Linked DNA regions of Canis lupus familiaris. The protein of the gene in region 1 interacts with the protein of each later gene in a pairwise test. Links are inferred from orthologs where the notes say so. Each region holds a gene or a part of one and is shown in the gene's direction. Other genes may lie near its edges. The genes, in order: ANKS1A and DOK3.

Region 1 (2,818 bases):
CAGTGGTGCTGAGAGGGGGGCCTCCCCCCAGGCCCCTCTCCAGAGCTCTGCCATCCTTCGGGAGAATAGCTAGTTCCCAAATCTCTGGCTTCTGGAACACAGCTGGCCAGGCATTCTCAGCCCCAGGAAGTCCATGCTTGCTCCAGCCTGGCATCAGACACCTGGCTCTGCCACTTGCTAGCTGTGTGGTCTTAGAATTGGGCTCTGCGTCTGAAAAGGGGCTATAATGTGAGCAATTTCATGGGGTTTGTTCTGAAGGTAAAGGGGGTCCTCTACCCATACTTGTAGTTCCTGCCACTTTTACCCAGAGCTCACATTTCCCAGTCATTTCTGCTGTAACACAGTACACACGCTCCTGAAGATCAAAGGCTACAGCTCACCTAGTAAAAAGCAGGGTTTGTGGGGAGACAGGGCTGGGGGCACAACACTCAGAAACTTCGTCAGTGGCACATTAGAACAGGAACCTAATAAAAACACCGGCCCTGCTCTGTTCACATCTGCTGGTTGAGAAGTCCATAGCTGCTCCGGTCAGCAACCCCCCGCGCCCCTGACCACCACCACCAGCCTGTGCTCAGGGCCGTGAGGCTGGGCTGGGGGTCTGGGCAAAGGGGTCCGTCTGGTGGCTCCTCGACCTTGGTGCTGAAGCTGGGCTCTGTCTCCTCCCAGAACCTGACCTACGAGATCATCCTGACGCTGGGGCAGGCGTTTGAGGTGGCCTACCAGCTGGCCCTGCAGGCCCAAAAGTCCCGGCCGCTAGGGGCCTCCGCTGCCGAGACGATTGAAACAAAATCTTCCAAGCCGGTGCCTAAGCCTCGGGTTGGCACGAGGAAGTCAGCAGTACGTGGGCCCAGACCCCTACCCCCCACCCCAGCGGGCTCTGGGGGCTTGGGGTGGAGCGGGCACCAGGAGGGGCTTCTCACGCAGCAGCCAGCACCTCCCCCATGAGCCCCCACTGTCCCCCACGGGCTTCCATCCCCTCCCTCGCCGGGCACCCCTGGTAACACCACCCCGTGTCTGTGTCTGCTTTGCTCTGCACCCCAGGTGCCGCTGCCCCCCGATAGTCGCTGTTGTCACTGTCACACCTGCACCACCCATCGTCCTTCCTACCTACCGCTGCCGTCTGTTAGTCCCGGAGTCAAGGTCTTTACACCTCCTGCTGTCTGTGTGTCAGTCTCCCCGAAGTGACTGTGAGCTTCCTGAGATGCTAGTGCCTCTCTTCCCTGAGCTGCCCTCCTGCTGTCCCTGCATCTGCTTCAGCTGTCTGTCTGTGTGTCCTCACTGCACAGGCCTACCCGGGGTGCGCCCTCAGCCTGGCCCAGGAAACCGGAGGCTTGGTGTTTTCCTGCCTCCATGAATAGGTCTGGGGCTCAGAGCATGAGGCTCTTTACCTGAGCAGCTCTGAGAAGTTGCCCCTGAGAGGCCTAGAGGTAGCCCTCCTGTGAAGCTCCGGGAGGGTGCCACTCCTGCCACCCCAGCCCTAGGGAGCTTGCTCTTCAAGGAGAACGGAGGCTGCCCCTCATGTGCCCTGTGCTGGCATGACATCAGCATGGCCCCGGCAGGAGGAAGGGACAGCTGGGCCCTGGCCCACCCTGGCCCGGCCCGGCCCAGCCCGGCGCTCCCTCTCTGACCCCTTGCCCTCCTTCTTGGCAGCTGGAACCGCCCGACCTGGACCCGGACACCCAGTCCCATGCCAGCGTCTCCTGGGTTGTGGACCCTAAGCCAGACTCTAAGCGGAGCCTCAGCACCAAGTATGAGACCACTATCTTCTAACTGCTCGCTCCCTGTCTCCACTAGTCTCACTGTGCCTTGCCATCCGACCTCTACTCTTCTCAGCTCTCCTTCCGGCTGCTGACACCAAGGCCGCAGTCCTGGGGGGACCTGCTCTCCTCCCGGGCGGCAGCTCTAGACACTCTCCACTCACAGCTTGTACCCAACACCACCGGACACTGTGAAGTCCCCCCTGGGCAAGAACAGCTTGGCGGGGAGGGGGGTGAGTTGCCCCAGAAGTGGGCGCCCCGAGGGCTGAGGGTGCCCTGGTGTGCCCAGGAGGCCTCAGCGGGAAGGTGCTGTGAGTCCTGAGGGGTGGGCAGTCTTCAAGCAGCATCCAGACAGCGCCAGTGACCACTCCCTCTGAGCAGGCGGGCCTGTGTGCTCCCCTCTCCCGTCTTCTGTGCCGAGCCGTGGCTGGCTGCCGCTGCCCAGAGAAAACTGTCTTTTTGCACCTTTCCTGACACAACCAACCACTGTGACCACTGGTGCCAGAACCCCTTGCACTCTGCTCACGCTGGCCTGCGGCCCTGTCCCTCTGTCCTCTGCTGTATGGTGCTGGCCTCCCCACAGGAGAGCCCGAGCTCAGCGGTGTGGCCTGACTGGGGTCCGACTGCGTTCTGTGAGGGGCCCAAGGGCCTCGGGCACATGCCTGACTCCACAGCCTGGAGCTCTGCGCATCTGGACCCCGCGGGCTGGCTTCCCTCAGCAGGGCTCCTGTCCCGCTGGGCCTTCCGCTCCGAGGAATGGGACGGCAGGTGTGCGGTCGGCCCCTCAGGTCTTCGCCAGCGAGTCACGAGGAGGCTGGCTCCGGGGCCCAGCTCGCCAAGGGGCAGGCCCTTCCGTAGGCCCCGGCCAGAGGGAGGCCTGTCCCAGCACACACGGTCTGCCTTCTTCCCTCCCAGAACGGAGCCGCTCGAGGACAGGGAGCCCATTGCCCTCTGGGGGCTGACACCTGTCCACGGTGTGGGGTCAGAGCTAGGCAGCCACCACCCACTCCTTCCCCGGTTGGCCACCCTCGGCCCCCTGCGTCCCCTGAGAGGGGAGGCCG
Region 2 (4,350 bases), on another chromosome or scaffold:
CTGGGTCTTAGTTGTAGGAAGGGCCATGTAGCTGGGGCCCCCTGCTGGGAACTCTGGGTATGACCTCTGGGCTAGCTGTATTTGTGACTAAAGGAGAGACTGCATTGGTGGGCCAAGGGGAAATGGTTGGGTTTTCTGGTCTCTGGTTGGCTCTTATAATCTCCAACCTTGCCCCAGCCTCCCCCTTCCTGTCTGTTGTATGAAGCTCCTGGGGCCCCTTGGGAGGCGACTTCCTGCCTCAGCCCCCCTGCCCATTTGCCAGTGCACACTGCCCACAGCCCACAGACTGCCAGTAGAGAATTCTCTATTCCCCTTGCTGAGAGGCCAGCAGATGCCACAGGACTGCTATTCAGGCCACTAGCACTCGGTGACCTCACTCTGTGTCCAGCTCCCTGCTGGGCTCAGGATCCAAGCAATCCAGGCAAACACCTGTTGGGAAGCTCCTAGGTAAGTGGGAGAGACAGGAGATAGGAATAATTGGGGGTGGCAGCAGGAGACTCCTGGCAAATGGAGTAGGATGTCAGCATCTGGCGAGGGACAGGCAGAGGAAGAGCCACTAGCAGCACATGCTGTATCCCAGTAGGACAGCCATTGCTCAAGTCACAGTTTGTCACTTTGTGTTTGGCCTTAGGCAAGTTACTTAATGTTTCTGAGCCTCGATTTCCTCATCATTGAAATGCAATGAGAATGCAAAGGACAGGGTGTCCTAATGCTGGAGCTCAAGGCTGCTCAGGCTGCAATGGACACAAAGCCAGGTGGGCAGGCCCTTGGAAAAGATTTCCTGCTGACACCCCACATGTGACCCTAAATGGTATTACTCAGCCTGGTTACCCATGCTTTTGTAAAAGCGACATTGAATGACATGAGGCTGTCCCCAGAATTCAGACTCATAGCCCCAATAGTAGCCTCTAGCAAGGTGAGGCAAAAAAAGATGCCTGGCAACAAGCAAAGTTTAAAAAGAGTATGTGAGCTCTCCAGGACCCACTGGGGGCATGCCACCCATACATGACCGGGCCATGCTGCGAGGACCGGAGTTCACTGATTGGGCCCTTGTGCTCAGCAAAAGTGAGAAAGTGGGGCCTCCCAGGGTTAGAGGCAGCCCAGCGATCAAGTTGAACAGTGGTAAGGGGTTCCCTGGAGGCACTGGGCTGAGGCAATTGGAGGCCGGAACAGGGCACCTTGGGTGCCACGCTGAGGAGCCCAGGCTATGCCCCAGCGCAGGGGGGCAGTCGAGAAAGGCTTGGGAAGGGGAGAGATGGGTTGGTTTGGGCTCGGTTGAAAGGACCACAGTGGGACAGTGGTTCAAAGGGGAAATAATGAACAGGGATGTAAAGACGGGACCAAGTGAATATTAGAAACAGTTCTAAAATAAGCAGAGCGGGACTGAGGCTCAAGAGAAAAAGCAAGGAACTGGCCAGTCTGGCTAGAGGGGGGTCCTGGGGCAGGGACGGGGCTGTGGGAATATCAGGCGCTGGGGTATACAGCTGCCCTGCACAGAAGAGAGGTCAGAGCATATGACTCACAGTCAGCTGACCCAGGTACAGGCCTAGGTCATCTGCTCTCCAGTAGTCTGAGGCCCCTGCCAGGCCCACGTGAGCATATGGGGCCCCAGGACCCAGAGGAAGGTATATGTGACGTCCCCACCCCCTATCCTACCTCCTTTACTGAAGGACGGACTCCCCTCCCCCCAGCCCTGCAGCTGCCTCTCTGAACAGAGGGAGGGGGAAGTGGCCAGAAGGGGAAGTGTGAGGAGTTCCCCTCTGGCCTGTCACCAGTCTCCTCAGGCCCTCAGAGTGGCAGTCCTGAGGCCTGGCAGCGGCCATGGAGCCTCTGGAGACTCCCATCAAGGACGGCATCCTCTACCAGCAGCACGTCAAGTTCGGCAAGGTGGGGACCCTGGCTGCCCAGCAGCTGCCCAGGGCGGTAGGCCTCTGGCCCAGCCTCAGCCCACCAAGACCTGGGAGAATGGGGAAGGGAGTCAGGGTGGGTGACCCAACCAAGGTGCTGGGGAATAGAACAGAGCCCCATTCTCAGCTTGAGTGGGTTGGGCTGAGTGGGCCTTTATGAGAGCCAGCCCTGTTCAAGGATGGGGAAGCCAAGAGTGGGGAGGATCTAAGAATCCAAACCTTGGGGCAGGGCTGAGCTGAGAAGCTGACTGACCTGATAGCCTTCCGCCCCATGTTGTAGAGGCACCAAGGCCCCTGTAGAGAAGGCTGGAGGCTTAGTTGGAGGATCCCTCCGACCCCACCCCACATAGGAGGGCTCAGTCCCTATAGCCCTGTTATGGGACATAGTTGGGGAGTTTACGTCTCCCCAGGCAGGAGGCCCTGCACCCTCATAGCTCAGCTGCAGCTGCTGCCCAGGGAGATAAACAGTCTATTTCCTTTGCTTTATGCTATTTGCATGTTTCCTTCCTTGCCATCATGAGACTGAGGCCTCCTTCCTGGCTCAGTCCTTGTCCCATGGTCCAAAGGGACCTGTTCTTTGGTGAGGAAGGGAGTAGGGGCACCAACATAATGATAGTATCAGGTGGTCTGCTTTAACTACTAGATACTTCAGAGACATAACCCAGTAGAAGCCCCAACTTTGTGTACTCTTAGTTTTTTGAGATGGGGGTACTAGTGCTCCTGGAGGTCAAAGGCAATTGGTGGGGTGGATTTGAACCCACAGCTGCCTGGCCCCAAGCACAGACTCTTCCCCCTGCTGGTCTGACCTTGGCAAGGCCTCCTTCTCTATGGCCCTGAGGATCTGAGGGAAGCAGAGGCCAGCCTGAGTGGCCAGGAACATTTGCTGAGCAGTTTGTGCTGAGCTGAGCTACAGGGAGAACTGCCACTCAAGGGTCTTTTCCCCCATCTTCACCTCCCACAGAAGTCCTGGCGGAAGGTATGGGGTCTGCTATATGCAGGAGGACCATCAGGTGTGGCACGGCTGGAGAGCTGGGATGTCCGGGATGGTGGCCTGGGGCCAGCAGGCGACAGGTCTGCAGGACCCTGCCGGCGTGGGGAACGGCGGGTCATCCGCCTGGCTGACTGCGTGTCTGTGCTGCCTGCTGATGGTGAGAGCTGCCCCAAAGATACTGGTGCCTTCCTGCTCACCACCACAGAGCGAAGCCACTTACTGGCTGCCCAGCATCGCCAGGAATGGATGGGCCCCATCTGCCAGCTGGCCTTCCAGGTGAGCATAAGGCGGTTGGGCAGGGCATCCGGGGCCAGAAGTGGACTACCTGATACCCCCACCTTGTTCATCTCCGTGGTCACTCACATCCTGGCACTCAGCTAGTACCTGCCAAGGACCCACAAGCCTAAGGAAATAGCCCCCTAAATCCATAGAATGAATCTCACATGGCCATTCATGCTGTGGAGAAAATGAAAGGCTGGTGGGACCAGGAATGAATGGTGGGTTGTTAGATGGGAAGGCCTCTTCGGAAGGGGCAGTAAGCCCAAGTCCTCAAGGACAAATAAGAACTCACCAAGCAAAGATCTGAGGCAAGGGTGATCCGGACACTGAGGCCTGAGGAATATCCTGAACGGATGGAGTAGCAAGGGCAAAGGCCCTGAAGCAGGGAAAAGTTTGGTATATCAAAGAGGTGGAAAGGCCACCATGCCTGGAGGGTAAGGAGTGGGGAGGGAGCCTAGGAGGAGGCAAAGTTGGAGAGTTTGGTGGGAACCAGCTGAAACTACTTTGGGCCACATTTGGAGTTTGGGGTCATATTCTGAGAGGAGAAGCCTTTGGAGGAAGTTTTTGGGAGCCAGGGACTGAAAGCTTTAAAGTTTCATAGAGGGATTCCTGGGTGGCTCAGCGATTTAGCGGCTGCCTTAGTTAGGCCCAGGGCGAGATCCTGGAGTCCTGGGATCAAGTCCTATGTCGGGCTCCCTGTGTGGAGCCTGCTTCTCCCTCTGCCTGTGTCTCTGCCTCTCTGTGTCTCTCATGAATGAATAAATAAAAATCTTTGAAAAATAAAATAAAAAAATAAAGCTTCATAGAGTCTATTATGGACCAAAAGGAAATGAGCCTAGTTCCTCAAAAAGTTAAACATAGAGTTACCGTATGACCCAGCAATTCCACTGGTAGGTGTATACCCAAGAGAATTGAAACAGGTGTTCAAACAGAGCTTGTATGAGAATGCTCAGAGCAGCATTAATCACAATGACTCAAAGGTGCTATTAACTGATGAATGGTACACCAAATGTATTCTATCCATACAAAAGAATATTACCTGACCATAAAAAAAAAAAAAAAAAAAGAATGAGGTACTGATACATGCTAATACCATTAATGAACCTGGAGAACATCATGCTAATTAAAAGGAGCCATACACAAAAGACCATATATTTGTATGATTCTATTTAT

The links.
Region 2: the proteins of ANKS1A (region 1) and DOK3 interact in a two-hybrid assay, tested with the Homo sapiens proteins (2 studies listed by BioGRID and IntAct). The link is inferred for Canis lupus familiaris from reciprocal best matches to the Homo sapiens genes ANKS1A and DOK3.

What each region holds. Positions count from the first base shown.
Region 1 is NC_049233.1:4,445,882-4,448,699, forward strand, and holds the end of ANKS1A (ankyrin repeat and SAM domain-containing protein 1A), read left to right. Parts: intron 1-666; coding exon 667-837; intron 838-1,041; coding exon 1,042-1,140; intron 1,141-1,650; coding exon 1,651-1,770; 3' UTR 1,771-2,257; downstream 2,258-2,818. UniProt on the Homo sapiens protein: Regulator of different signaling pathways. Regulates EPHA8 receptor tyrosine kinase signaling to control cell migration and neurite retraction.
Region 2 is NC_049225.1:36,747,264-36,751,613, forward strand, and holds the start of DOK3 (docking protein 3), read left to right. Parts: upstream 1-1,525; 5' UTR 1,526-1,821; coding exon 1,822-1,887; intron 1,888-2,868; coding exon 2,869-3,174; intron 3,175-4,350. UniProt on the Homo sapiens protein: DOK proteins are enzymatically inert adaptor or scaffolding proteins. They provide a docking platform for the assembly of multimolecular signaling complexes. DOK3 is a negative regulator of JNK signaling in B-cells through interaction with INPP5D/SHIP1.